Caenorhabditis elegans: one gene and its partners. Each later gene encodes a partner of the first gene's protein in a complex. Each region holds a gene or a part of one and is shown on either strand. Other genes may lie near its edges. The genes, in order: sdc-3, sdc-1 and sdc-2.

Evidence for each region.
Region 2: sdc-3 (region 1) and sdc-1 share a complex: the UniProt entries of both Caenorhabditis elegans proteins name them as parts of the SDC complex.
Region 3: sdc-3 (region 1) and sdc-2 share a complex: the UniProt entries of both Caenorhabditis elegans proteins name them as parts of the SDC complex.

The regions. Positions count from the first base shown.
Region 1 is NC_003283.11:15,042,234-15,051,570, reverse strand, and holds the start of sdc-3 (Zinc finger protein sdc-3), read left to right. Parts: upstream 1-3,363; 5' UTR 3,364-3,465; intron 3,466-3,769; 5' UTR 3,770-3,779; coding exon 3,780-3,987; intron 3,988-4,520; coding exon 4,521-4,616; intron 4,617-4,663; coding exon 4,664-4,818; intron 4,819-4,872; coding exon 4,873-5,185; intron 5,186-5,362; coding exon 5,363-5,503; intron 5,504-5,825; coding exon 5,826-8,759; intron 8,760-8,809; coding exon 8,810-9,154; intron 9,155-9,199; coding exon 9,200-9,337. Other genes in the region: fbxa-82 (F-box domain-containing protein), read left to right, coding at 1-245, 288-497. UniProt on the Caenorhabditis elegans protein: Component of the SDC complex that functions in sex determination and in X chromosome dosage compensation specifically in hermaphrodite (XX) animals.
Region 2 is NC_003284.9:16,271,427-16,283,727, forward strand, and holds sdc-1 (C2H2-type domain-containing protein), read left to right. Parts: upstream 1-4,336; 5' UTR 4,337-4,346; coding exon 4,347-4,420; intron 4,421-4,581; coding exon 4,582-4,814; intron 4,815-5,257; coding exon 5,258-5,493; intron 5,494-5,534; coding exon 5,535-5,830; intron 5,831-5,883; coding exon 5,884-6,214; intron 6,215-6,440; coding exon 6,441-6,623; intron 6,624-6,811; coding exon 6,812-7,050; intron 7,051-7,207; coding exon 7,208-7,593; intron 7,594-7,725; coding exon 7,726-7,859; intron 7,860-8,601; coding exon 8,602-8,664; intron 8,665-8,762; coding exon 8,763-9,002; intron 9,003-9,230; coding exon 9,231-10,106; intron 10,107-10,504; coding exon 10,505-10,637; intron 10,638-10,686; coding exon 10,687-10,874; 3' UTR 10,875-11,108; downstream 11,109-12,301. Other genes in the region: F52E10.2 (ACT domain-containing protein), read right to left, coding at 11,380-11,449, 11,497-11,600, 11,655-11,777. UniProt on the Caenorhabditis elegans protein: Embryonic transcription factor regulating downstream genes involved specifically in the sex determination and dosage compensation pathways, or regulating other genes involved in the coordinate control of both processes.
Region 3 is NC_003284.9:11,517,841-11,527,220, forward strand, and holds the start of sdc-2 (Sex determination and dosage compensation protein sdc-2), read left to right. Parts: upstream 1-4,866; 5' UTR 4,867-4,898; coding exon 4,899-6,017; intron 6,018-6,062; coding exon 6,063-6,298; intron 6,299-6,743; coding exon 6,744-6,962; intron 6,963-7,012; coding exon 7,013-7,166; exon of another isoform or gene 7,167-7,224; coding exon 7,225-7,290; exon of another isoform or gene 7,291-7,333; coding exon 7,334-7,884; exon of another isoform or gene 7,885-7,930; coding exon 7,931-8,265; exon of another isoform or gene 8,266-8,311; coding exon 8,312-8,442; exon of another isoform or gene 8,443-8,583; coding exon 8,584-9,380. Other genes in the region: hpo-34 (ZM domain-containing protein), read right to left, coding at 14-118, 165-282, 340-440, 484-549, 601-681, 894-947, 1,005-1,105, 1,150-1,177. UniProt on the Caenorhabditis elegans protein: Component of the SDC complex that functions in sex determination and in X chromosome dosage compensation specifically in hermaphrodite (XX) animals.

The DNA of each region.
Region 1 (9,337 bases):
AAATGAAATCCATTTTGTCATTGTTGAATGCAAACAATATTGAGAAAATTGAGTTGAATTTTCATCATGGAATACTTTTGGAAAATTATCTTGCACAGTTGGAACAGTGGAAAAATGCCAAAGAATTGTGTGCCAGTGCTGTTTTTGCAGGCTTTTACACCTCAATTGAGAACTTATTCAATTTTCGAAAATTTGAAATCAATCTGGAGACTTTTACTGTAGCGGATGCTGTTAAAATTAAAAATGTAAGTTTATTCATATAACAAGTAGTCTAAAACTTGTTTCAGATCCTTCTTAATTCTGCCAACTTCAACTACTGCAAAATCGAATATTCTATGCAATTTGTGGCACATCGATTCGAAGTTGCAAGGCTTTTTCAACCAAGCAACACAAATGGAAATTTGGATTATTTTGCTTACAAATGCTCTGGAGGGAATTATATCATATTCCTTGATGATTACCATCTTGAGATTCAAAGAGAAAATGATGAAAGCTAGAAATCAAATTTGTTGAAAAATTTTTTATTTGTTGCTTTTGTAGAATAAAAAAAAATAGGTGAAGAGTAGTCTAGATTTGGAAACAAAAATTATGAACTTAACAGCAAATAAGCTTCCGTCGTGTTTTTCTATAATATTTTAATTATATAAGAAACAGTTTTTTAATAAAAACAATCAAGCGCATTGTATATCCACTGAAAAAACTTTGTTGTAGGACCCGGATTTTTTGGTTTCTAGAGTTTTGAGGGACAAAAGGCGTTATGTTCAAGTTTTTACAAAAACTCTTAGGCTGGGTTTTTGAACAAAATAGAACTTTTTCAAGTAAACAATACTTAGCTCTATATTCAAATAACGAGATCAACTTTCATAAAAATAAAGTTCAAACTCAAAAGTCAAAGACTCGCATGAAAAATGGAACGGTAGTCATACTCTGGCTATCATGTCCGTGCGGCGCACACAAACTTTTTCCGCCTCTTACACCGTATTCATCACCTCCTTTGAAGATGATCTTTGCCGTAGTGGTGTCTCACAGGATCTCGCAACGTAAACTGATATCTTATGAGGGAAGAACAAATAAGTGTAGAGAGGGGCAAAAGACATACAGTAGCTAGATCTGGACATGAAGAAAATGAGCATTGTGTAAAGAGCATGGTTTAAGAAAAAGTGAAACGCGTAAAAACTTGAAGATGACGGTTTGACGATGGTTCGAAATGTGAACATTCAAGAAGTTCACAATTCCATTGTATGCAAAACGTGTTGAAATTTGATTTTTTTTAAATTATAAATGTGAAGTTTTCATCGAAAACTTCCTCTTTCGAATAAAATTAAAAAAAAAAGAATTATTGAAAAAGTGATAGAACTGATGAGTAGTGATATACGCCAGCTCTTCCCAACTAACGAAAATTTTCATTATTTGTCATTTTTTAAGATTAGAAATTTTGTAATATTTTCGTTTTGACGCCGATTCCAAAAGGTCATTATAAAGTATCTAGAGACACAACCTTTGCTCTAAACAGCAATACCAAGCGCCCCAGTCCTCCGCACCTGATCTCTGCAAGTGGTACGACAGATCCACAAGCAAATCGGGAGGGGCCATCCAATCTCGGAGTACCTGTCACCCGGAACGGTTAAAAGCTAGCCTCCGGCCCAAAACAAGGCGAATCGACGCCAGAATTGCGACTTTCAACTGCAGGTCTGTCTCCTCCAACGACAGGCTTGCAGAACTGCTCGAAGAGACGAAGAGAATCAAGTTCGATATTATCGGACTCTCTGAAACAAAAAGAGCAACGGAAAAGCATGCAATTGGCGCCGACGGGGTCGAGATCTTTCTAGGATCTCGAAACCCAAATTCTGTTTCAGGAGGGGTCGGCTTCATCGTCACAAGCACCTCCTCCCCCGAATCACTGAAGTAGTTTTCTCCAAAGTAACATCCATTTCAACATTAATTTGGCGAAACTAGATCAAGTGAAAAGGAGAAAACCCCCGAAAAGAGTTTTGGATAAAGCTACAGCTCTGGCTGTCAGCGCAACAATTACTGCCCCTGCTCATGGAGATATTGATGAGGACTACAAGATCCTTGTCGACTCTCTCAAAACAGCCCAGGATCAATCAGTAATTCAACCATCCATCCACTCCGCCAACCGACTCTCGGAGGAAACTCGACAAATGCTCTTCAAAAGACGTCTTATGGACAGATCAGACCCAAATTTTAAGTAACTATCTATAAAATGTAGGGAAGCAGTCGAGAGAGACCATGAGAACTTTGCCAGTGCCCGCCTGCTAAAAAAAACTGAGTGACAACTGGGTGACAACTGAGTGATTTTTTTGAATCCTTATACTAGAAGGCCGAAGTAGCTAATAATTGAATGCTTTTATACACTCACGGTTCACTATAAGTCACGCATATAAAACTTACAAAAAATCGTAAATTGACAAAATAAGTCAATAGTAAATTATTTGCCGACCTAATATTACATTTCAAAATGTTGGCAAGTAACATCTCGGGTATTACACTCTCGTGGGAATCTCCAAAATGTTTCCATAGTTACTCACTCCATTACACTTTCAAAAAATCATAAACTGAACCAACTCTTCTCTCTCCACTTGCTCACACGCATGAATGTTTAGTTTTCAGAAGAAAGGTCAGGTCACTTGCCATCCAGATACGGTGGATTTTTAACAGCTCGCGCGTCCGTATGCTAGTCTTACATCTATCGATTCGTATATGCATATTTTTGTGTTAATTAGTTTTGTCAGGTTTTTCAAAACTGACTCTTGTGACAATTAGTTTCTGTTTCCATAGTTACTCACTCGTTAAACTTTCCAGAAATCATAACCCATAAAATATGACAAGTTATGTTAATTTTCTCTGTGGGTCTCGTCCTGATATCTAGCAGATTTCATCATTTGAAGCAATTAAAAATCTAAAATTTCTGATTTGATTAACACTTATTTTTCTTGAGCCAGAACTCAAAAACGGGATTTTATTTAAAAATTTGACTTTTTGCAATCTTTTAAAAATGGACATTTTCAAGAAACTTTCCAAGAAATTTTCAATTTTTGGCCTCTGATTTGAAAGTATGTAGAGACTTTTTTCTTCTGCTCAATTTTTTTTCTAGTTACCATAACCCTATTTTGAAATCAGTTATCTAAAACACTAGATGCACCCATGTGTTGTCCTCTTCTCTTTCCTCTTCATGTGTCTTTCCATCTCTACGTCTCAATCTCTAACACACTCTCTCCATCTCCCCCTCTCGAGATGTTGCGAACTACGCTAGTTGCCTTATAATTTTGAATGTGAGATTTTCCCGCGCTCATTTTGATTAATTCTTTTTTTATTTGCTTTCAAGATTAAATTCAATTTCAGAGAAAAAAAACAAGAGCCACTGGTAAATGAGAAGTTTTGGTTTCCGGGGATCCCGATTCCCAAATCACATTTAATCACTTCCTCTGCATATTTATTCAAAAAGTGAGTTTTTATGTTTTAAAATATTGTGAATAATTTTTATCAAAATTAAAATATAATACTTGAAGTGAAAAAAAACGGAAAAATATTATTTAAATGTGAAATAAAAATCTTGAAAGTAAAAATTCGAAAAGTTCTGAAATTTTCAAATTTTATCGCTCATTTCTAGTCATATCAAAACGTTATCAACTACAAAAAATTAGACAATAATATTATACAATTTTTTTAGTTGAAACTTTTTGATATCTTGTGAAACAAGCGAGACATAAGCTGTCAAAGTTTAAAAATCTTAAAATTTAATTTTCAGAGCATTAGAAATGTCTGACGAACCACCAATAGTGCTCCCAACTGAAGAAGATGGCCCATTCTCCAACTGTGTATCGATTGCATTTGTCAATGACAAGAGCATACCCGTGGAGCTACGAATTCGAAAAGCTATTCGTGGAAAAGTCACGTTCACTCAGGAACTTGTAGTCGCTGCACGTAGATTGTACCTGGATGGAGAGTTAGAAAGACCTGATCTCAGTGAGTTTATTTTTGTTGAAAAAAACTGATAGAAACAAAATAGAAATAGCATTCGATTCTACAAAAGCTGAATGAAAATATACATAAAATATTAAATTATTTTACACCTAATTTTTTTTTGAAAAAGTCGTCAACTGAAGTCATTTTTTAACACAAATAATATTCAAAAATATTCATTAAAACCGCAACAAGAAAACGCACTCTAGGAAAGCGACAGAAAAGGCAATTAAAATCCCTCGCCCAGATGGAAGCTGTTAAATAATTATCTCAAAATATGCAAATTTTTTGGTAAACATTTACATATTTTTCATTTTTAAAATTTCAAATAAAGTGTTTTTAATGGTTTAAAGTTGAAATTCCAATTTTTTAAATGTAAAATGTCAACTAAAAAAGACATTAAAATCCAAAAAATACATAAAAATATATAGAAAATGTGTTAATATTATGACAACTAATTGGAATCGTGCGAGGGCGAGTAAAGGGGCGATTACGATGCAACATGCATCATACATTCTAAATTTAATTTATTTCAGACTACCACGTTGCCGCCGACTTCTATGATCCATTTATGATCCCGGTACCAGATCACCGTAATTGGGAGTATAACCCTTTATATCCTCGGGAGTGGCGTAAGCTCAATATTTCTTTGGTTCTCCCTAGAAAAATAAATTTTCAGCTAGACTAATTGATAGAGATCTCGTCCAAAAGATCAAGATGTCCAATACGTACAAAAAGAACCAGGCGAGAAGGAAAAGACGACGACTATTAAGAATCTTCCATAGGAAACGAGGTGGAGAGTTTTTGAACTATTTATGGCATTCGAAGGAGAATGTGAGTTAACTTTTTTTTTAACTAAAAAATTTGAAAAACCTCTTAATCTTCCAGGACGTGCACTACAAACGGTATATGGCCGCCTATCAATTTCCTCTTCCATTCGAGAAATGTATCAGGGATGTAGTGAGAGAAGAGCTTAAAGATCCCGAAACATCATTTTCTAAACCACCATCAGTGGTACATCATTCGAAGATTCGACCAGCCACGCCTGATTTGTTAAAGTTGGCGAAATATCTTGGAAAGGATCGGTTTTGCTTTATTGTGACACCATTTAAATTTCGATCTCAATTCCGTTTACGTTACTACAAGAAATCTCCATTCAAACGTTCAAATATTCTTGAGAAATGGTTAAAGTTCAAAAAAGGTAAGGTTCTGATTTTTGCTTATTAATTAACTTTATCAAATTTTGTAAAATATCACACTTATAGTTAGCATGTTTTTCTTTCAATAATTTCAAATACTGTGAAAAACAAATTTCAATGCTGTAAAAATATGTTGCTCCCCAAAGTAAACTTGAGATCTAACTTCATACATGTTTTAGTGAGAGATCAAGGTGTGTTCAACATTCGAGATGCCGCTCGTGAAGTGAAGAAGCTACTTCAAAGGAAAAACGTCTACCATATGACAGACCCGCAATGTGAGCAGGAGTTCTGGGATGTATACAGACTTCAAATGCAATGGCGTAAGTTTTTGAGCACTTTTTAAAATTACGGCCTGTTTAGAGATTAAAAAATTTTGTGAATATATTATTCAATTTCAAATTTTTTCTTTTTCCCATTCTATTTCGCGGTTTCGGTATCAAACTTATTATAAGAGTGTTTAGGAATAGGCAACGATTTTAGAAACTTTCTGGAACAATTTAATTTTCTGAAAAATTTAAAATTAAAACAATTTCTGGAAAAACTACCCGGATTTGTTTGTCAAAGTTTTGGTAAATTGACAAAACTTCCCATTGACACAGCACCATGTTCAAAACTTTTAATAAAAAGTTATAATATTTTAAGTGGAAGAAGACAACATCGAGGAAAACATCACGATGCTTCGAGAAAATTTATCAAAAGTGACAGACGAGGAATTCAATAGATCCGTGTATATTATGAGACCAGAGAATCGAGCATCTATCCACGACGACGTCACATTCACCACCGATGCCGAAATCAATCTGAAGCCAATTGTTCTGGAACTTTTTCGAAATAATATGCCACTCGAAGATATCAGACAGGTTAAGGAATGTATTGACGACATGATTAACTTGACTGTCTGCCAAGAACTTATACCTCAAGTTGCTACAATTGAGACTGTTCGTGATTATTCTGGAGTTGAACAACATCGTTTAAAGTATATTCGCCCAGAAAATGAGCTGGAGATAATGTTCCAATTAGCTACCGTTCTTGTAAAAAACGAGAATACTCATGATCAAGAAATCACTTCTCCAATGTTTGCACTGCTTCGAACAGAACAATATTTGTGGTCAATTCCACTTCGACCATTTCTTCGAATGTACACTGACTGGAGGAAAACTAAACTTAATTTCAAAAAGTTTAGAAAATTCTCCCCGGAATTAGTCTCCAAAGCACCAATTGACTTATTCAAAGTGTTCCTCACAACTAATATGGATAAGAAAGGAGTTGCCACAAAAGACACGGACTGCTTTGATTACAGGACAGCATCTGAAATAAAGAAGCTTTACCATGAAGAGTTTATCAGAGTCCGACCAATTATAGAACATCAGCGTTTTCACAGATGTTACACCTCTGTAATTACCGAAGAGCCATTACCAAATCCATTCTATTGGGTACATAGGGGCCAATGGGAAAAAGTTTATGAATGTAATTGGAAGCAACGGGTTAAACCGCTAGCAGGTAGATTTTCATGGAAGACTAAACACCCGAATATTTGTGATCTACCACGACTGGAGAAGGATGATAAACAGGAAATGGAGATGTTGGCTAAGATGAGAGAGAAGATTCGAGAGTATAATAAAGAGAAAGAGAAACATCCTTTCTACGTTTCTTCCAGTCTTCCCGAGTTCGCAAGCACATCTGACTTTGTGAAATTTCCCATTTCAAACACAGGAATAAAATATACTGCACCTAGAAGAAACCAGCCAAAAGTTCAACGTTCACTTGTGACTTACACAAGGTTTCGCCTCGCGGAGTTGGAAGACAAGGATTTCTCATTCCCAGAAGAGAAGATGCTTGAGAAGAATCGGCTTTTGGAAAAATTGAACTTTGAAGAGCGACTGCAACTTGATGCATTGATGTCGAAAGATGTGAAGTACAAGCCTCGAATGATCCCCGAGAAGGGATTTCTGCAGTTGCAAGATGAAAAGTTGATTCTAAAAAGATTATGTGAAAAGGAAGATGAATGGTCTGGAAAGCAGAAAAGACGATTCCCAGATCTATACGAGCAAGCAACTCAAGAAGCGGAGCGTCTAGGTGACCCTGATGCAAGTACCAGCGGTACCAGCAACAAGGAACTCGGCCTTCTTCCTGTCTGGAAGCACGACGATTTTCGTGATTTGAAAAAAATCAATGTTCTAGGATCCAAAGAGTATCCCATCAGTAGCCCTTATCTTATCAAGAGATTGCACTATGACATTCACCTGGAAATAGTCAGAGATAAACTCAAGTCATGGATATACAGAACGGAATTATGGGAGAAGATGAAGCCCGTCTACGAACGATTGAAAAGGGATAAGGAAAAGCGTGAGAAAGAGTGGCATGAGATGAGAGCTGCACAAAGGGCACAGAAAGAGAAAGAGGAAGAAGATCAGCGTCGCATGGATATGGGTATAGAGCATGGTCAGGAAAGTTTATTGAAAAGCATTACCCCAGAAGTGGAGCAACAAATACTACTCCCCATATCCAGAGAAAATAGTTTTGAAGAAATGCTTCCAGCTCCGCAAGAAGCATATGATGAAGATCTTGATCAAGATATAGACATTCATTTCGACGGTGCTGAATCAGTATGTACTGGAATTCGTCTTGACTCGGAAGATCGTGAGCTTGTGGACTCTCCTGATCAAGTTGAGAATGAGGAGCCAGAGAGAGTTGAAGCAGTAACTGAGAATATTCGACAAGAAATGTCGGACGCAGAAATGAGAGATCTGATGAGGAAGAAACGAGAACAATACTCTATGCTTTTCCCAAATGTACCACAGCCATTCCAACCGTTGAATCGATTTGACGTGACGGCTCCCGGAGCAGGAATCGTTCCCCCGTATGATGAAGCACCCGATTTTGATCTGTCCGCTTACTTGGAAGAGGATCATGTGAGGATTCCAACATTGTCGACAGTAGAGATAAATTCACTTTTAAAAGATCAGGATTTAGTTGAGGAGCAAGAAATAGTTGAAGAAGAAGAAACACCACTTGTTGTGGAAGAGCCTGATATTCCTGCGGCTCCTGTTCTATCGGCCGAAGAGAAAGCGTCAAGGATTTCTCGCGAGATGTCTGCACTTCGGAAACTTCCTGATGCAGCTTTCAACTATGCAAGTGATAGAGATGGCGTTGTAGTGGAAGAAGTGGAAACAATAGAAGAGATTCAAGAAATCTATAATGATAAATTGGAGAAGATGATCGCAGCTCGGCTAGGAAGTATAGCTCAAGGCGCCAACATCGAAAGATTATCTGAAGATCAACTTCTCGGGGATCAAGGTTCAGAAGATATTTCTTTTGAAGAGATTCAGGTTGACTTGCTGTTGGAAAGTGGTGTTGAGGTGCAAGTAAATCAGTCGGTTACAATTTCAAGATCTTCTACTTCGTTCGAATCACTTCTCGTAGAAGATCCGGAAGAACACCCAGAACAGCTTCCGGTGTCAGCTTCAGAAAAAGCTAACAATCAGATTGTTCCAGAAGTTGAAGTTGAAGGATCGGTTGTTCCGGTAACTAATCAACAAGAAGAAAATGTGACTTCAGAGGGACCAACTTTACAGGGTAAGTTAATTTATTTTTTGAAGCTTCAGCAATCGAATAATATTTTTCAGAAGGATCATCCATCCCATCGTCTTCACATATTTATACTGTAGACGAACTACTCGGAACGGAGTCTCCTGGACCCGAAGCTACTGAAACCCCTGTCGCTGAAGAATCACCTAAAAAGAAGTCTGGGAAAACAACACGTGGACGTCCGAAGAAAGTGAAAGAAAATTTGAAGAAAAGAATTCAGCCGAGAAGAGGACAGAAAGAAGAGGCTGCACATGAGCCAGAAGTAGTAGAGGAACAAGAACAAGTAGAACCGGAAGTTGGTCCAGAAGTTGTACACGAACCTGTACCTGCACCAGCAGCTCAACTAGAAACTGAGCCAATCGAGCAACAAATTGAAGAGCCAGGTAAGTATTGTTGATTTTTCTTTAAAATTCAAAAAAAAATTTCAGATAAAGTTTTCGAACCAATTATTGAGGCGCTGCCGTTATTTGAGACATCACCCGTGCCTGCACCAGAGGGAAATATTCCCAGCCGAGCTCATTCTAGCGATGACGATGTTCAAGTTATCTCGTCTGAAACCGATCCGA
Region 2 (12,301 bases), on another chromosome or scaffold:
CCTTGCTTTGTAAAAGTTCCAAGTGATTATTTATTAGACAATAACATTGAATTTTAGAAATTAATTGTTCTACTCCAAAATAGGTAAGCGTGCAACTTAACTGCAGTTATAAGCTTGAATTAACTGAATACTCTTATTATAGATTGAAATTTATTTTCCAACCGATCTGTTTGAATTCAAACAAAAAGTTTTGACAGAGAGGTGGTGGATAACTGGATTAAAACGAGACGAGATCGTTAATTCGGAAGGACTAAAGAGGTTATCTTGCAAAGAAGAACAAGGAGATACATCGGCCTAATGGGACGAATAAATGTTATTGTACGATTCACATCCAAATGAGTCCCTCTTTTCATGTCACTGACCGCGAGATTGCAGAAAAAAATAAATTGTGTTACTTGAGAACGATTTAGATTTAAAAAAAAGGGAGCCATTGAACTTTCTAACTTTGTCTTCTTATCTTCCGAAATACAATGCAGCCATTGTGGCGCGCAGTCCCCGAGAAGTTTCCGTTCTAATTCATCATATCTGATAGAAGGTGATGTGAAATGGGGACGACAACACCAATATCACATTAACCAATTAAATTAATAATCGGAATAATAAAACATGGAATCATTCATACACAAAACTTCGGAGGGGTTGTTTTATTTTTTTTAAATAGTGTAGGCCTAGCGGTAATTTTGACTAGTTATTTCTATAATTGATATCAAAATTTCATATTAGAAATAGGTTTTTTTTTAATTCAAAAAAATTAGGACTGATCAAAAATGTTAAGCATATTCTTGAAATTGATGAATAGCGAAATTATAATAACTGTTAAATTAGTATCTGGTACTGCAATGAAGCATATCTTCAGAAAAGGTAAAATAAAGATTATACTTCAGATTTCCATATGAAACATTGATATTTTAATTGTTGAAATAAGAGTCAAAAACCAACGGCAGTTTTTCATCTCCGTTGTGGTCTAGTGGTTAGGATTTATGGCTCTATTATGGAATATATTTTTTACTTTTGTTTTGATTTAATAAAAGTAAGTTTTGTCTTCAAAAATAAAATGTTTTCTGTTCAAGAAAATACGGAAACCCCCGTTTTTCAACACCGGTTTTTATCAAATTCCCATTTTCAAACAGTCCGTTAGCGAAAGTGACTCGGTCGATTTTCAAAATTTTTCACTTTTTTGTGTCTCCATGAATAGATCTTTAAGGTTTGATCAAAAAATTCAAGTTACTAACAGCCAGTTTTAAAATTCACCTCAAACCGAGGTAATTAAACCAACTCGAGTGGTGCGCTGGCTGCGTTTGCGTGCAAAACATAGTGGTCCACGCTAGCCCAGATTTTGTCGGCAGCACATTTCGCATATATCCGCGCTCTCACAAGTCCTCCTTAAAGGAGTAAGACTACTAATATGTTCTTACGTAGTGGATGGAGCTTTCCTTTTGTATATATTTATGCACTGCTCCCCACTACTAAATTTTGGATGGTTCATCGAAAGATGCGCCAAAAATAGATACAAATAAACAAAAGGAAGTCCTGTTTCAATGCTTTATTGAAAAATTCAGTGATTCTTTTTGTAATTCAAAGAAAAGATTTTCTTTGATTTTGTGTTTTTTTTTCAAAATTTTTCACTCTCCCCATGAATAGATCTTTAAGGTTTAATCAAAAAATTCGAGTTACTGACGGTCAGTTTTAAAATTCACCTCAAACCGAGGTAATTAAACCGACTCGAGTGGTGCGCTGACTGCTATTGCGTGCAAAGCATACTGGCCCACGCTAGCCCAGATTTTGTCGGCGGCGCATTTTGCATATGTCCGCGCTCTCACAAGTCTTCCTTAAAGGAGTAAGACTGCTAATATGTTCTTACGTAGTGGATGGAGCTTCCCTTTTGTATATATTTATGTACTGCTCCCCACTACTAAATTTTGGATGGCTCATCGAAAGATGCGCCAAAAATAGCTACAAATAAACAAAAGGAAGTCCTGTTTCAATGCTTTATTGAAACATTTAGTGATTTTTTTTGTAATTCGAAGAAAACATTTTCTTTGATTTTGAGTGTTTCCCAATTAATTGGAAAAATTAACCCTTTCACGGACGTGTCTTTATTTTTCGTAAATTTAGTTTCTTTTTCTCTAAAAAACCACCACCTATGGAAAAAATAAGTTTAGTTTACTCGGGTTTTTCCGTCCATTTTTCCTTATTTTTTTCCTCACGGGGAGGCAAAAAAAAGGAAAACTTTGAAAAATCACGTTTGAGAAATTTCCATTGTGGATAAGTATACAAGGATGGAACACTGATATCTTCAATTTCAAAATAAAAGTCATGAACTAATGGCAGTTTCTCTTCTCCGTTGTGGTCTAGTAGTTAGGATTTATGGCTCTCACCCATAAGGCCGGGGTTCGATTCCCCGCAACGGAATATATTTTTTGTTTTTGTTTCTGATTTAATAAAATTAATTCTGTCTTCAAAAATAAAATGATTCTGCTGTTCAAGAAATACGAATACCCCCGTTCCTTAACACCGATTTTCATCAAATTCCCATTTTTAAACGGTTCGTCCGCGAAAGTGACTTGGTCGGTTTTCAAATATTTTCACTTTTTTATGTCCCCATGAATAGATCTTTAAGGTTTAACCGAAAAAATTGAGTTACTGGCAGCCAATTGCAAAATTTACCTCAAACCGAGGTAATTAAACCGACTCGAGTGGTGCGCTGACTGCTTTTGCGTGCAAAGCATACTGGCCCACGCTAGCCCAAATTTTGTCGGCAGCACATTTCGCATATATCCGCACTCTCACATCTTATTTTTTAAGTAATAAGGGTACTAATATGCTCTTACGTAGTGAATGGAGATTTCCTTTTGTACATAATTATGCACTGCTCCCCACTACTAAATTTTGGATGGCTCATCAAGAGATGGGCCAAAAATAATTTCAAACTCACTGAAAGTGTCTTTTCTCTATTGAGGAACACAGTATGTTGTTATTAATAAATTTGCTCACATTCTCCGAAATAAATGTGAATTTGTTTGCTTCTGTTCTTCGAAATAAAGATCAATATATAATGAGTGCTTATCACCTCCGTTGTTGTCTAGTGGTTAGGATTTATGGCTCTCACCCATAAGGCCGGGGTTCGATTCCCCGCAACAAATTTTGTATGGCTAATCGAGGGCCAAAAATAACTTCCGATTAACTGAAAGTGTCTCTTTAGGATTTGTAAAATTTTAATGTGAGTTTTTCGAAATTCAAAAGAGAACAATTTTCTAAATCAGTTGAAGGAGGACTAACGGTTCGGACAATTTTGAACGTATAGACTCAAAATGAGCTCAAATAAACGAATTTCGTAATGAAGCTTCTCAAAAAAAATTCCAAAATTTTGAACCGCCATAAAAAAGTTTTGAAAATTTTTTGAGCAGTTTCATTACAAAACTCGTTCATTTGAGCTTATTTTGGGTCCATACGTTCAAAATCATCCGAACCGTTAGTCCTCCTTTAAGGACATATCTCTATTTTAAAATTATTTATCATGTTTCTCATTAAAATCAATATGTTTTTGGGAAAAGTTCAATTTTTAAAGTCACCGAAAAATGAAAACGAACATAATTTTGGAGCCACATATGATATATGGGTCTTCGAAAAACTTTCTGTTTTAGAGTTCCTATTTTTGAACAAGAACCCATTTTGAGGTACACAGTATGCTGTAAATGTTAATTTTGCTTACATTCTCCGAAATAGATGTGAATTTGTTTTCTTCTGTTTTTTGAAATAAAAATCAATATATAATTACCGCTATATGACCGCCATAAATAGTTTTGTAAAATCATTAATAAAAATTTCATTACCAAATTTGTTCCTTTCAACAAGTATTGATTTTATACGTTCAGAATACCCCGAGATTTCCCGTTAGTCATTGTTTCATTTATTCCAGAGTTGACCTGATTGAACGCACGCAACGCACTTTTTCTCTCTCGCCACACTTTGGAAGTGAGAGACGCAGCAAGAGATGTCTTCTCTGCCGTGCAGTGTTGTCGTGAAAAGGACGACAGAAAAAAGAGTGTGTGGAGGTGAGAGGGTGGGAGGGGTGTGAGACGGTTGTCCGTAAACACTCGCGCAAAAACGCGGGAAAATTTTTCTGGAGGAGGCCGTGCTGCACAGGTAAAAACCTTTTTAATTCGATCAAAACAATTTTATAAATTTGTTCGATTGGATTTTTCACGGAGATTTTTCCGCGGTGCTTTTATTTTTTTTTTGATTTGCTGTTATTGTTTGAACTGACTTCTAAATTTTGATCTCTTTTACTTTTCGATTCTATTTCCCTTAAATGACAATTATAACTTTGGAACATTTTCAGCAGTATGTCGGATGAAGAAGATATAGATGAAAGCTTTGAAATCGAAGAGGACGGAATTTCAATCACAGATGCCAGAGGGTAAGTTGTTGTTGTTTTTTTTTTTTTTTTTTTTATTTCCTTGGTGGCTTGTCCCAATGTCCAGTAGGAAAAAAGGACATGTATCATTATAAAACTGTTTAAAAATTTTCACATTTCCAAAGCTTTCCAAGCCCTAATTAATCCAACAAATTCTTGTTTAGAAACAGTCTGAAAGCGCAACAAATTGCTGGTAAAGAACGAAATTTGGATCCAGAAGCCGATGATTTGGAGGTAGTCGTCAATTTCTACGAAGCAGGCGACGGAACATTCCAACTACAACTGCCCAAACTAACAGCTGTGAAACCAGTGGATAAAGTCAATGATGTACTGGACTTTATCAATTTTGACAAGAAAGTATGCGATGGAATCCATTCATCAATCAAATTAGTTTCACGTAAGTTTAACTGCATGGTAACTAGAATTAATTCGTATTGTTGGTTGCGGGACAGTAGTAGATTTTTGCCAAAACCAAAAATTAATTTAACCGGGTTGAAACATTTTTGAAAAATATTTTTACAAAGTTTCCAGATGTTGAGAATTGAAAAATTTACCTACGATTTTTTTTTCACAAAACCTACGATTTAAAATAATTTTTTTTAAAGCTATTTGGAGTTAGGGTGTCTCATTTCAGTGTGATCTACTTAAATCTACACACAATGCGGGAGTTGAAACGCAGAGTTCTCAACCAATTTTGCATAGTTAAGAACGTGTTGACGTCACACTTTTTGGACAAAAAATTCCCGTATTTTTTTTAGATCAAACCGTGATGGGGCAGCTTGACACTACGTGTATACATAAAATCCATTATTGGGCCTTACTTTACTATATAATTTTCAGAACGAGATCAGACGGGACCAGCACCGTTTCCGAAGCATAAGCTGACGTGCGCCCATTGCGACTGGTCGTTCGACAATGTGATGAAGCTTGTCCGTCACCGAGGTGTTCACAAGAATGTGGGAGTCTACATGTGTCAAGTGTGCCTCACACTGTTTGGACACACCTATAATCTGTTTATGCATTGGCGGACATCGTGTAGCCAGACATCGACAACTGCCACGGATATCGAGATACAAGTAAGCACAAGTTGGTATTTTGAAACTAATGAATCCCCAAGCTCCAGAAAGCAGAAACGCCGTACCTTCATCGCAATGTGCTCAATGTTTTGGGCTCACTGAACCGAGCGTCGCAATACTACTGCACTGGTGGTTATGTATTTCTGCCGTCGGATTGGTGCATCACAAATAAGGAAATTGTTATGGAAAAGGATCATATGTCGTCGTGTCATTTATGTCACCTGCCTGTACCAAATAAATTTCTCGAAGCTCACGGAAATGTGCATCGGGGGCGATTTCGAATCGATGGACGTATCTACGGCGACTACTTTTGTCATATTTGTGGAACAGTTTTCATGTAGGTTTTTCGACATTTTTTTTCAAAAAATTGAAAGAACACTGAAATTTCAGAGAACAAGATAATCTATTCAAGCATTGGCGTTTGCATTGTGAAGAGGTTATTGCCTACACACCAGTCGACCAATATCTATCAAATACGGAGCTCGCCACACTCGCTTGGCTCGTCCTTCAAACGACAATCTCACAAGCCGATATTGAATGCTTGAGGGTCAGCTCGTCGCTGATCACTGAAAAATTGGCAAAAGAGCACGCGGAGAGACACGGAATCGCCAATAGTATGCACAAGTATTATCACTTTCCACAGGAGATTTGGCCCCTCAAAACGTTTGTCAATTTGGATTTGGTTAATGATGCGATTCCGATTTCAGGAGAAAATTCATTTGTGAGCACTTTTTTTCCATTTTACTTTGAGATTTGTATTATTTTCTAGCAAAACATTATTGGCGGGTCGTTTTAGAACCTATTTTGGAGGCAGGTAGGCACGTTTTCAGGGCCTACCGAAAATAGCAGATTCTGAGCTACGTTGTACATACCTACTTGCCTACTTTCCTTTCTGCCTACCAAAATTTTTATATTTTTTTTCACTGAAATTCAATCTTTTTTTTCAGAAGATAAAAGATCCCAAACGCCCAGTGCACATAATGAACTTGCTCGCTACGGCGTGTCCGGGCTTTTACGCAACAGGAAAGACGTTCAACATGATTTGCAGTACGAAAAAATCGGAATCAGACACGAAAAAGGTGTATCGCGTCATATTGAGATATACGACAGAGGGATCCGTTATTCAATCGGTAATTTGATTTGTGCTTTTTTTCGAAAAATTTTTTTCAGATTTTTCAGCACTTTTAGCTAGACGTTTGGGTATTAGCCAGTTTTAAGAAACTTAGCAATGATCAAACTTTTAATTCAAAATTTTGAATAATGAGAAATTTATTGGAAAGCTTTATGATAATCCAAATTCACTTTTTTTTTCTTCCAGTACGATTTCACGGCTCGCTCATTCCCCAAACTCCGCGTGGACTCGGAAACGCCAGAAGGTGTTTTTAGCCATCCGCTGGCCGATTTCAATGTGGAATCGAACGAGGCGATCGTGTGTCACAAGTGTGATAGTAAAAAGTTGACAATCACGTTCTCGACGGAAGTACGGTTGAAGTATCATCTGCTTCGACATTCGGAGTCACGAAAAGACGGTTATCATTGTGCGATTTGCAAGATTATGTGAGTTTGTATTGAATAAAACAATGTTGATTAGTTTGAGAGTGAGAATTGGATTTTAAAAATCTTCACAATTTTTCTTTATTTTTTGACCACTTCCGAATTGGCTAAGTAATTCCAACAGACGGTAAACGTTTGCATAAATGAAAGTTAATTTCAGAGTATACAATCGTAGTCATGAGGAGCACTGGATCAATGATTGTATTCCGCTCCAGAAATTGTATAGAGATCAAAAGGACCGAGAGTGCTTCGACGCAGAATTTGCTGCAAAATGTGCGAGCATCATAAAAAAGCTCAGAATACGAACATTGATTCGATGGAAGGAACGAGCGAACGAGGACTGGGTGGAGACGAAGCAGACGCCTGATCGTATCGGAGAAGATTTTGCTATAAAATTCCAAGTTGGTACCACTGCTCTGAAGACGCTGATGGCCGGGCTCGAGGAGCATTATAAAAATGCTCAGGCTAGACATGAGGCGTATAAGTACAGCGAGGAAAACTTTTTGCCGCCACTTTCGACGCCGGTCGTTGTATGCTTTCATTGTGGTAAGTGGCTCACCGTAATAGGAATGAAGAAAAATACAAAAAAAAGTTATTCGATCTTTTTTGTGAAAATCTGAAAGTTTAATTCTCTTCCTCTCTCTCTTTTTTAGTTTCTCCTCAAAACACCTTTTTCAGGCACCCGCTGTCATTATACGCTACTTCACGACCACCTTGATTATTGCCACTATTGGCCGCGTAACAAACGATTAGTCAATGAAGAATTTCATAAATGGAAGAAGAACGGCTGTCGAAATACGTGGCGAGTTATGGTAAGGGAGATTATTTGTGTTCTAGATATTATTAATTTTAATGAATTTAATGAAAATGATTGAAAACAATTTTTTAAAGTGGTGGGAGAAAGGTGTATGCATTTTTTTGGTTTTGCCACAGCTTTTAATTTTTCAATTATGTGCATATGTTTGAAGGCGGTTAATATTCAAAACAGGGGTGGGCGGCAATTGCCGTTCTGCAAATTGATTTGCCGACAAATTCTGCAAATCGGCAAATTACCGGTTTTCCGATTTGCCGGAAATTTTTAATTCCGGCGATTTTCCAGTTTGCCGATTTGCAGGAAATTCTTATTTTTGCCAAATTGCCGGTTTGCCGTTTGCCGGATATCAGATTTGCCGGAAATGTTTAGAGGGATTTTTCATAAGACGGAAACACTTAAAACTGTCTTTTCGAAAATTTTTCCGTTTTTTCTATACATTTTCATAGAATTTGCTTACTTTTCAAAATAAATGTAAGAAGATCATAGGATGCGTTTAATTTTGCCATTTGAAATTGAAATTCTGAAATTTCCGAAAGAATAAGTGCGAAACCACAGTTTGCCAAAATTTTTTCGCAAATTCGACAAATCGGCAATTTGCCGATTTGCCGACGTGCCGGAAGTTTCAATTCCGGCAATTTTCCGGCGTGCCGATTTGCCGGAAAAAATTGTTTGCCGCACACCCCTGATTCAAAAGCTTAGCTCTTTTTTTGGTTAACAAACTTAAATATATATTTTTTCAGAAAAGTGTAGCTGAAGCAATGCAAATTGAAGTGCCGTTCATATCTGAGGAGCAATACTCAAAGGTACAGTTTTTGGGGAATAATTTATCAGTATAATGAACAGAAAATAAAAAAAATAGCAAAAAATTCTGAGGTTCATATTTTTCAATGATCATTTCCAGATACTCGACTACCACACCTACTTTTGCAACGACACACGCTACAAGGTTCAGGACTCAATCAACAATTGGAACGATTGCTCAACAATTCGAGACGTTGATTTGTCCGAAAAACTTTCAGTTGCTGAAATTGTGCAAAAGGGCGAGGACTCAGTGATGGCTCCAGAACCTGATATAATCAAAAATGTTTACTTTCCGTCTGCTCGTATTATTACAGATAATATGCTGTTGCGAATGACAGAGGTATAGAATTTTTTGATCATTTTTTAAAATAGTTTTTTTTAGATAGACGATACGATTTTAAATATTTTTCTAGTAACAATTGGTAAATTCTGAGATTATAGCGGAATTAAACCTTTTTTTTTAAATTTCCTAAGAAACTTTTTAAGAAGGCACACTATGAAATTTACCTATTTGGTGCCTATCTGAGTAAAATGAAACCAAAAAAATATATACATATACACATTTCAGATAAACTTGAATGATGTCGTGCAGCGAGACCCAATCACCAAAGAGGAACTAACGGGAAAATTCAAGGAAGTTCAAGACGAGCAAGACGCGATTCTGTTTGGTGACTACCGTGCTGTTTTGCGATCGAAGGGTATTATGGTCAATTCGATTTCGGATTTTGTTGCTCCTCCAGATGAGCTTGCGAAAGCAAAAGCATCCCAGGAGTCTGCTGGTCAAGAAAGTGTGGATCATAGGAATCGAAGGGAACGAGAATTTATTCAACAGTATATGGGTAAAGATCTGGCACTCGAGGCGGCCGCCCGCGAAAATGGGAGACTCGTCGAGGTTGACGAAGAGGCGGAAGATTATGAACTGACTCCGAAGGAGCTCAACGCTCGAAGACTCGTCGAACGGAATCGTCACCGAGAGATGTGCAAAACGAGGTGTGAGCATGGCGAGTATGACTATGAAAAGTTCAAGGCGAGGCAAGTGCCCATTAATCCGGCAAAAATGAAGGAGCGGAAATATCTGACTCGTGTGGTACACGAGAGCGGCCCGGATGATGATGTGTGCCCAGATGAGCCGGAGAATAACATCATCGCGTTCTCACCAAAATATGAAAATTCGCTCAGCGACTTTCGCATAAGTGCAATTGGTTTCCGCGAAAAGTATTTGGCGGACGATAAAAAGAAGAGAAATGGAATTCCGATTCGAAAAATGACTGAGGCTCAGAAAGGTGTTGCGCTAGACTACGATACGTTGATGGCGCGACACGGAGGTCGTCCCGACGTGATAATGAACCCGGCCGGAACTGTTTTTGTGGGAGGATTTGTGTTCGATCGGAAACCGACGTGCCAGGATAACATGCAGACTGTTTATGTTCTTCGTAATGGCTATGTGAGTTTGAAAAGTTTAAGTAATGTTGATTTTGTTCCCCGGTTTTTTGAGACAAAATTTGACTGTCACGAGGGACAGGCAGAGAAGTATAATAGAGAAGTGAAGAAAAGCGGAATATTGAGCCTCGATATAAGACAGTCCCTCCTAACCACGTGGTGTCAGACTGCTCCGTTGCGGTTTGACCTACAAAAAATGCGGGAACGTTTTGCCCAAAAAATGTGACGTCAGCACGTTCTGAACCATGCGAGATCAGTTGAGCCCAACTGTGCTTCTCTACTCCCGCATTTTTTGTAGATCTGCGTAGATCAATCCGAAGTGAGACGCTCTGACACCTCGTGCCTAACTATGTAGTTCTGAATTTTGTGAACATTTAGATTTTTCACACAATTTTTTTTCAGGCACACCGGTACCGAATTTATCACTGCGAAGACACGAATGGCATTTACAAATTTGTTTGGCCGCAGGAGCAAAGTTTTGACCCCGATTCGCTTGCAAAAAGTGCTCGAGTCAGAATGGTCAAGCAAGTCAAATGTATGTAATTTGTTAGAAATTCACCTTTTTTAATTTAACATTTGTACAGCACCTGAACACATGATCCATCACATTGAAGAAATTGATGAGTCTATTGGACATAATTACCGACTGAATAGAAAACGGCGAAACTCGGAAACACGTGAACACGAGCTCATTGAACTCGATACGGACGACCTGAATGAGCCGAGTACTAGTGATGGAAGATATAGTTTTGGGCATCACGGATATCGTTGACATGATTGTATTACGAAATATTTAATTTGAATCTCAACTCCTTTCTACGATCTTTTTTCTTTTACGTGTGGAAAAATATCATAAAATTTGATCTTTCATTAAAAACTCTATTTTTCTTTTTAAAACTCAAGCTATAAACATTATTTTTCATTTTGAGTTCCTAAAAACTTTTTTTGAATTTTTCAATTATTTTTGAAATTAAGCTTGAAAATCATGATTATGAATCAAGAAAAAAAGTATAGCACAGGGTTTGTGAGTCTGTGGCGCCGCTTGATGCGTGTCTTATTGTATAATTAGTACTAAACGTGGTGAGTGGATATTTCAGGGAACATTTTTGTACAACTAACTCATTGCTCTTAGAGTTTCAATAAAGTTAAGAATCTGCCGGAAAACTTACACAGTTTACTTTTTTATTGTGAATCCTTCCAAAAAATCAAGTAAAGCACTTGAAAAAAGCAGAAGCAGAATCAATTGAGCAGGCAGGAAAACACTTATCATAAATTTCTTAATGATAAGAGTCCACAAGCATTCCTATGTTGGTAACGTTGACTTTCCAATTGCTAAGTTCGACATGGCTGGAAATCAAATTTTTGTAAATGTAGATTGCCTAAAAGTAGCTTACTTTTCTGTTACGGGAACCTTCTTGATAATTCTTTGGACTTTCCGAATGGTGTTGTTTAGACTGGAGCAGTTGTGGGTTATAAACATAGTGATGTCATAATAGTCCTGGAGCAGTTTAAAATAATTTTTTATAAAATGATATTTATTTTGGAGACCTACGCTGAAAATACCATCTCCGTCTTCTTCGCCTTTAAGATCGAAATCGGACTCCTGTTCGCTAGTACAACGGGCATCTTTGTAATCTAGTACATCTTTTTTGCTGAAAAAGGCAATTAGAAACATGTGGAGAATATGTGTTGGTAACTTGCTCAGAGTGAATATTAAAAAGTATGTGGCTTTAGTCTTTCAGAAACAGTAAATGTATTTTTATTTAAAACCAAAGTTGTAATGTTTCTTCTGAGTTTTAAATTGTTGCAGTTGGCCAAATTGGCCAATTTTATCGAAAAAAATTCGGTATTTTGGAAAAGGCTCGACCAAACTATTCTTAAAATTTTTAAGTTTTTAATTCCACTCACAACAAGTAGTCAGGGTCATGAAAGACATATTTTCAAATTCTGCTGGTGGAAATTCGTTTTCAGTAGGGCGTATTTAAACAGTCAAACCCTCAGAAAATAGGCGGAGCCGAGTTTTTAGATCTCCTAGATATTTCGTGGCATTTCAAAGCAGCCAGTTGAAAAAAATGGATACCTCTATTTTTCACCCGTTTCTCTCAAAGATTTCTCAGATAAATATATATTGAAGAATGTGAAATGTAAAAGTTGATGAATGTTTTTGAGAACCTACCGAAGTCTTTTTTTGAAATGGCC
Region 3 (9,380 bases), on another chromosome or scaffold:
AATGTTTATTTACTCTTCCATGAAGATTTTTAAATTGCTCAATCACTGCGTCATGCTCGAATGATTGTCCGACAGCAAGTGGGGTTGGAGCTTCAGATGCAACATGTGCTCCGACCACCTGAAAAATCATGAATAAATTGTTTTTTAATCTTTGTAAAACTGACGATCGGCTCATTCACAAGAGTTCCCTCGGAAATAGTCGACTCGCTGTCATGAGTCAAAGCGGAATGATGGGAATGTTGGGAGTGATGCGAATGATGCGAAGCGACGGAATGGTGGGACCTGTAGGTGTGTGAAAATTATTTATTATTTCTTCAGTAGAGTGAGCTTAAGATATACCCTGATCTGGAAGAAGCAACTGATGGTGCCTTTCCAACAACAGCTTCCCCAACAACAATCGGAGGCATGTCGTACTGTGGGATAGGTGGAAGATCGTAGTGCTGAAAAAGGCGTTTATAGTTTTCATTGTTCGAACTGAAATACCTGAGCGGATTTTTGAGAAACGCTAGAATGAACAGAAACTGATGTGGCTTTTGACATTGCGGACACCTAAATAAATGCTCTTTTTCAAAATAATGAAAGATTAATTTTAATATATACCTCCGACCGCTGATCTTCAGTATCCACAGTTGGACGACGTTGAATAACGGCATCATGACCAACAACGTTTCCTACGATAACCTGAAAAAATATTTTTTGTTCATTTTCCAACAAAATTGTTCTTAAATCAATCGATACTGTCATTCTTTTTCGAACACGGAAATCAAAGAGCACCAACTGATTTTCAGTTTTGATGAGCAAAAAATTGATAAGTTATCAAATCAGAAGTAAAAAAAATCAGATTATAATTGAAGTTAAAGTAATCTTTACAATGTAAATAAAAATTTGCTTACCCCAGAAGAGGAGAATTCCATATGCTCGTGGTGAGATTCAACATGATGACTCTCCTGAAATTCAATAAAATAACTAATATCAACAAAATAACTGTTCAAAAATTTTCTTACTTGGTGAAAAACAGTGTGAGATTCTTGATGATGCTCCATGATGGTAGTTGTTTGTCCAACAGCAGGAAGCGTGACAGCAGAAAAGACTTGGTCCATCAAACCTTTTTAAAACTGGAATTGGGAAATGTGTTAATGTCATACTTACTATCACTGGCATTCCTAGTCTCCATCATTTTTTCTTCGGTTCTTTTTTCCAATCCACGAACAATAGGTAACCTAAAATAGCTGAGAATTAAATTTGAAAAGGTTGTTAGATCATTATTATTATTATTATTGTTGCGAAAAAAAGTAAAACGCGAAGATTGGTTTCAAAAAGCAGTCGGGCTCTTAACTCTGCTACAAACGGCAAACACGGCGCCGATGATAACTGCCATTTGATGTAAGATGATAAACCACGACGACAAGGGGAAAGTGAGGGTAGAGAACAATTTCGAAACGACCGGTATGATAGTATGTGACACGCAGCACACTTTTTGGAGCACGTTTAATTTTGATAAACGCAGAGAAATTTATAAATGATTCTTTGCCGGACACATTACATGATAGCATAATAATTTTTTGTGACTTATTGGGGGACTTCCATTTAGACACGCTTAGAACATGAGAACATATTTTAATGTCAGAAAAGGAAACATAAGTTCAAAATTAAACTAAAATTATGGGAGAGAAATGGGTCTATATTCCAACTGAATTCCATGCTGTTTGAAGCAAGCGTTTTATAGTTTTTTAACCTGTCAGTGTTCCAGTTGGGAGGTAACAAGCATTGCACTTGCAGTGGAAATTATAGCAGATGATATTTGCTAAAGTGACAAAGAGAAAAAGAATGTCGATGTTTTTAATGTTTACAGTCTGCCAGTACCCGAAAATATTTGCTCTGAAAGGACGTTAAGTCATCTGAACGAATACAGTTTTTTTCATACATCTGAATTTATTTCAAGACACAAGAAAACATCTTATTAAATGCTCAATTACAAATATGATGAAATCCTACATTTTAGTTAAACGCACATTCTAATTTTGATAAACACTATATTTCCCGAGAAAACGACAATGACAAATTAAAGATAAAAATTTAATTTTAAATCAAAAACTTATCCAAAATGTTTCTGTTAGTGTGATATGTTTTATTTGACTGGAAACTGAAGCTTGACTAACAAAATTGTCATGTTGAGACAAGTAAAAGTTTTCTATACATTTAAAATTATATAATTATTTAGATATCATTTGTAATTTGTATAACACATTATTACATTGCAAAACTAGTAAGTAAGAATTTTTAAGAGTTGCAAAAAATAATCAGACACAAAATGATACATTTTTAAAGTTACAATTCCAAACAGTGAAAAACGCAGAAACGGACTATGACTTTGTGATGCCATACCCAAAAAATTCGAGAATTGGATATAATGGATATGTTTGAAAAATAATGTTCAAATCTTCGAATATCCTACCGAATTTGAGTTATAACGAAAATTAATGTTTTGTTGGTCGGCATCGAACTTTTCCTTGCAATCCTGTGAACACTCGGGAAATTAGTTTTTCGTGCCATAATAGAATACGGCTGAAATTGGTTTAATAAAACATTAATGGCAAATTTTTCAACATATCATTTATTTTTTGTTTCAGATACAGTTAAACATATTTACTGATTTTTATTTTCGGGCCATTTTTATTTTTCTACAGTCTGCGTTTCATCTAATAGTTCCATAATCTGTCCATTTCTACAGCAACATGCACAATTTTTGTTCAACTGTGAATAAAAATAGAGGAAACAAATCTTTCGTCAATCTCTATGCTTGGTTGTATAATCTTCGTGCGCTGACAATGTTGCCATGGAAATTTATCTTTCTCCGTCTCTCTTGAAAAAATAATGTTTTAAGCCAAAAGTGTTTTTAAATAATTAATTAAAATCATCTATGAAACCAAAAACAGGTCTTTCAACTCTTAAGATGGTCGTCTTTATCAAAAAAGTGTCTGGAAATGGCAATGTGTATTTGGTATTTGTAAGTAAAACGCCAACCGTAGGAAAAGGGTTTAAATCATTTCCTGATAGTTCTGAAATATTTGAATATCACAAAAAAAGTAGAACAAGCTGAAATTGTTACTAATTTGGATATTGGAAAAAAGTTTTCACGATTTTGTAATTTTTTTTAGCATGGCACAAAAATTTTATAACTTTCGAAAAAATGGAGCTCCTAGTGCTCCTAGTGTAGCATTTACACATTATTGGCAATTTTTAACGGAAACCTCGAAAGGCAAAAAAAACTATTACAAATTGAAGCATTTTCAATATGGATGTTTTTCTTTTGAAATGGTTTAGAAGGCAGCTTTCACAATTTTCAAAAATTTAAGGCATTTCGGTTATAATAATGTGTTGTTCACATAATGTCTCTGGCGCATCTCTACTTGTAAGATCTATTAGTTTTGTATCACTGATAGCCCTGCACTCAAAACGACCCATAAAAATAGTATTGCATGAAAGTTATATTATTATTAAAATGCACTACTTAAACTGTTTTACTTATAGTTTGATTTTAAAAAATTCCTGCTGTTGGAACATGGTCTTTGAACAACCTATTATTAAAAAATATAACATATATTCGATGGATCAGTTAAAATTGTTCAAAATTATTTGTTACACATACCCATTATGTATTCCCATTGATAGTATGCATCTTCCATTTCTCCCGTCAACATAATTGTTCATAAATTTTTCTAAATATCGACTCATGCACAGTTTCTACGCGACTCAACCCCGTTTTGTATGACGTAAAAATCATCGATTGTCCAGCCGGCTGTTTAGATGACCGTTGGTCATCACTGCATAGCGCAACGCAAAACGGCAGAGGTCAGAGCTGCGGTAACGACGCGCTGTTCACGGCATTATAGAATTTGGCACATTCGAAGATGAAGACAATCTGCAGTTATTGTACATATACTTATTAATTTGACTTTTCCTCTTATCGGATTAGATGCCTGAGCCCTTTCGATAATTATACCTAAATCACTTGTTTATTCTGTACCTTACTTTAGTTTCATTTTTATTAATATTGATGTTATTTTGCGTAGGAGTTTTTGCTGAATGTTTGTATGAAACTTCTTTCAACATATGTGTGATATTTTCCTTTTTTCCTCTAGCTTCACACTTTTACTTTCGAATCGAAAGTATACGACATTTGTACAAGGTTAAACTTTACGCAGAGTTTCTTATCAGAATTGCGCGTGACATTGACGTTTATACAAAGCTAGAAAAACTTTAGTTAAATTATTTATCCTAAACATATTTTAAATTTATTTTATCCATATAACTTTAAACGCAGCCTCCGCTTTCTTATTGAGTCTCCATGCCCCTGTCACAGTTGTGTATCCTTGTTCTCTCTACTCTCTCGTTTTCCACACAGGTTCAGTCGATGTCTCTTGGGTCTTCTCCTTTTTTCCCACTCATTCCTATCTATCGTTTCTTTGCGCTCTCCACCATGGCTCTCTCCATCCAGTTCGCAACATATTAAACAGAAAATGGAGACTTAGAGAAAACAGGACTGGTGAAACCAAGACAAAGTAGGGAATAGTTCACAAAGGTTAAGGCATTTGAATTCTAAATTACCAATAAGTATCAATTTTTGTTTTTGACTACTTTTCTAGATTCTGTTATTTTAGGCTTCAATCTCTTCATTATTTTCAAAAAAATTTTTTTTCAATCTCTTCACTATTTTCAAAATTAATTCTTTCAAAACTTTTTTTTTGTTGAAAAAATTCAAAAAGCTTACCATAACACATTTAATTTTAATTTTATTTTTCTGCGACAGCCCGTTGTCTAAAAATTTTTTCAAGAACCTTTCGTTATTTTCACTAATATATTATTTTTCAGAATCGTGATTTTCTCTTCCGGTACTTATGAGTGATGAATCAGAACTAGGAAATCAAAGTGAAATGGAGTCATTCAACGAGTCCGATTCTCCAGATGAAGCTGATCCAGACGTTGTTATCATCCATGACATAGTTCATCTACGTGCAAGTACTACAGGCGACTATAGTCAATCAGAAATTGGGAAACTTCCCGAGCAAAACACGTTTTTCTTACCTGGAAGAGTTAAACGCAACATTTCATCAAACGACTCTGATGTCATTATTGACGAGGATGAGATACCAGACGGAGCAATCAGAATTACTTCAGATACTCATTTCATTGGATCAAGTAGAGGTACTAGTGAACTCGGAGATTTCGAGATGGATGAACAGGAATTTTTGAATATAACAATAGAAGAAAATGGAAACGAACAGGAATTAGAAGAACACTTGCGCAACGCATACCGTCATGAAGAAGAAGAGTGTTTTGAAGAAGAAGACGATATAATTGAACTTCCTCCTCTACCTGTAAAGCCAGCTGTAAAGAAACCTCGAAGAAAACTGCCAAAACATCTGAGTATAGAGAGTGGATCCACCGCAAAAACATCAAAACTGGTAGCAGAAGTTGTTCACGATCACCCAAGACCTGTCAATTATCGCATGAAGCCAGCTGTAACTGATGATGGTAAAGTAGTTGAACAGAAACGGACTCGAGTGACACGTAACATTATGTCACACACAATTCCGCAGTATCATTTGGAAGGTGAAGAAACTGAGTTTGGAAGAGTGAAAGAATCTACTTTATCAAAAACGATCGAACAGTATCTCCAAGCTGGCAAACTTGTTTCCCCAAAGTGCGACCAGTTTCGTGAACAAATTGTAGCAACTGCGGTTGAATACGATGGATCTGTGAAAATGTTGCAGTTTGAAAATGCATTGAAGAAACATTCCGGCAAGCAAAAACGCCTAAAATATCAAACCGGGTGGTGGAAAGCTTCTAAGAGTCATTACGAGAGAGCAGTGAACGGTTATGTTGCAATGCCAAAAACCCCAGTATTATCAATTTCTGATGATCCAGTTCTCTACAAACACCATTCACTATTTCCCAAGAACCAATCTTCAGAACTTGAAAAAATTAATGTTCAACTGCGTATTCGTTTAAACTCGGTAAGTAGTCAATTATTTATCTGAACATCTCAATTCTTATTACAGAAACGGCAAAACAATGATGTTATCCCCGACTCATCTTATTTTGTCAGAGAGTTCCTCATGCAGAAGCATTCAATTTCGCTTCGTATGAACCGTTCATCGGATCTTCCTGAACTCTTCGTCCCTCCAACTTTGGAATGTGGATATTTTCCACAAGATGCCGTTACAGTTCAACAGCAAGAGCACTACTTGATGATGCGTTTTGAAGAAGCTCAAGACGAATATCATAATATAACCTAGTAAGTTGAGCTTCTAAAAATATAGTTTTTATTTGAACAAGACGAGAACAAAATTATTCGAACATTTGAATTGAGACTGATAAATAACTGAAACACACACAAATGTAGCTTTAAGCTGCAATTTTTTTTACATTTTCTATGGCAACGCGTGGCTTCTTTCTCTTTAATTTTGTTTCTATTCTGAAACCGTTTAAAGATGAAGTACGCTCAGTTGAGAAATTATGAACACCTTTTCTATGGTAGTTAAAAATCCAAATATCATAAAACCTTCTAAAAAATTTTGGAAATTTATTTATTTCGAGTCGGAAAGTGATGAAAACTGAGTTTGCGACAAGTTTTAAAAACTCTAAAGCGCTATCGCTTGCTCAAAGTTTTATAAATATTGTTTTCATCTAAAAACAATCAGAAATATCATCAGAAATATATTTATAAAATTTATTTTCAGCCGCAGCATCGCCCCTCCCGTTGAATTTCAAGTTGGAACAATATCGGCTAAAGAGCTTCACAAATTTCATCGTATTGGCCGTCATATTCATGGATTCTTTGTAGTCTGGGAGAATAAGTTTCCTGAATATGATGAAAGTGGAATATGCTGTCCGAGAAAACGTTATTTGGTCGATATGTTTAATTTAATATGTTTCCCACTTTACACGGAATACGAACAGTAAGTTTTTTGAATCAAAGTTTTGTACGTTTAAATTTGAAATTTTGCAGGTGGGAAAGTAGACTAAGAGTCGCATTTGACAAGACCATTGTTTATAATCTACATCTTTCTGAGATACTTCGATGCAATCGCCCGGTTTTCGATTTTCTTTCAAAGAACAAATCAATGCTCCAACCAATCACTCTAAAAGAAATTGTTTATCTTGTAAGTTTTAAAAGTTACAAATTGCAATTTTTATTATAAAAAGTGTGTTCCATTTCAGATCGAGCAGTCAAACATGGATGCAAAATCTTTTGCTGTAAAGTTTGGATTACGGACCTTTTACGATGTAAGCCACAAACGTCAAACTGTACCTTATTATTTTCTTTCAGCACGGTCGAGCAACCAGTAATAAAGACTATCTATCAGCTTTTCTAATTATTACCGGTGGAGCAAAAGTCGTCACAGAAGAAATCGATTCTGAGCGTCTAAGAGTTTTCAATTCGGATTACATGGAATCGGGAGTTCTGACGTCATCGGGAGATGTGTACACATTTGAATTTGACAAAATACCAAACAACTATCAAATTTCCATTGGTTGCAATGCTGATGGAGTGGCTGAAATGGAACAAGAAGATGTCAGGCATGAGCTATCAGAATGTTCTTCTAGAATAACCAGAATAATTGGTGATTCAAAAAAACCAGAAAAAATTATTGCAAGGCCCCTGGTAAAAACAAACCAAAATGACGGAATGAAGTTCTTTACACGGAAAGATTTACTTAATTACCGCATTAAACTGTACGATCCAAGTTACGTTGTTCCACGTGCGAAAAAACAAATTGTCAACGAGCCTGCAAAGAAAAAGCCTGGAAGAAAATCGAAGACAAGATATGATGCAGCAATGCAACAAAACAATTTCGAAATTGAGGGTGTACCTTCCGAGTATGTTTATCCATTGCTCAAAAATTGCCTTATGAAATTTTTTCAGCGTCGACTCCGAATTTGAAGGATATTTAAGTGACAGTGAAAACGTATTCCAGAAGCCGTCAAAGTTAATGCGATCAACGTCATCTGATTCAGTTTTCATTGACTACCAGTACCGTGAAAAAATGTTCCTTGATGTTTCATGGTTCCATCAACAAAAAATGATTGATCGCTCTCTACCGCCACTCAAAAAGAGGAAAAGAAAGATGAATAGAATATACCATAAACATTCCGTTCGATACACAATGTTACAAGCAAACGGCTGCGCGTTTACAGAAATGTACAGATGCTATGATAAAATATTGCCGTGTGGAACTAAGGAAATTGCGCGAACCAAAAGTGAGATTGACTTGTTTGAAATAATCAATAACTAATAATTTTGCAGATGCAATTCGCTTCCCTCACAGATTCCGAACCTACAATATTCCACAAGTCTATGGGCCAGGGGACAAACAACTGATTACCGAAGTATTTGGTGTTGTGAAAGATGTTATCACCCGTGCTACAGGTTTTGAGGTAAGATACTTTTGTTTTCTTTAAATGCGTGATAAGAAAGGTAAGGAATTTTGTTTTAATTAGTAAATTAAAATCTAAAAGTCAAATACGTCATAGGCAAAACGTTGTTAATACATATCAACTGAATAAGTATTCTTTCAGAGTGCAAGCATACGGACCGCCAATGACATTGCACAAGCTGTATATGACGCTAATATTGCTCGCCGAGAACTACTGGAGAACCTTGAGCCTAGTGATAACGGTATTCTTCCTAGCCCAGCGTACTTGGCGATCGAGATGCTTTCACATCAGAAAATGTCGGGACGACTCTGTTTGGAATCAGCAAGGAAAGATGTGCAGAATAATGTTGATAAAATGTACAACGACTACATGGATTTGGATCCTCTTGATAAGGAACTTCATTTTGAAATTTCACAAAGCATTCGCCAGAGTAAATTAAATGAAAGTTTAGAGGAATACGAGAGAAATAGGGAAAGACAACTGGCCAAGACGTTGAAAACAGTTCCTATGGACAAAAGAAGTCAGGCAGCATTGGCCAGACGAGAAGAAAAACGAAGAGAATCAAGAAGAAAACTTGCCGATAAATATGCCGAACAGAGAAGAATGATGGCTAGCACCAGAAGGCTTGAAAAAAGGACGACTCAAAAACAAGTTGACCCCGAAACAATTCAGCGGTTGCGGCGTGAAGATGAAGTAAGAAAAAGGAAGCGTTTTGAAGAGGAAGATAGAAGAGGTATGATACGACGACGTGAGGAACGTGTTGCATTGCAGGAAAAAGTGGACAGAATGTTAGAAGAAGGTTTACGCCTCGAGAAGGTACGTGAAGCCGAAAGAATTCGACAGCAACAAGAAGAAGAGAGGATCGAAATGGAGACTATTCTTATTTCTCGAAGAGTGAGGGAAGAAGAGGAGGAAAAAATGCGGTTGGAAAGATTGCG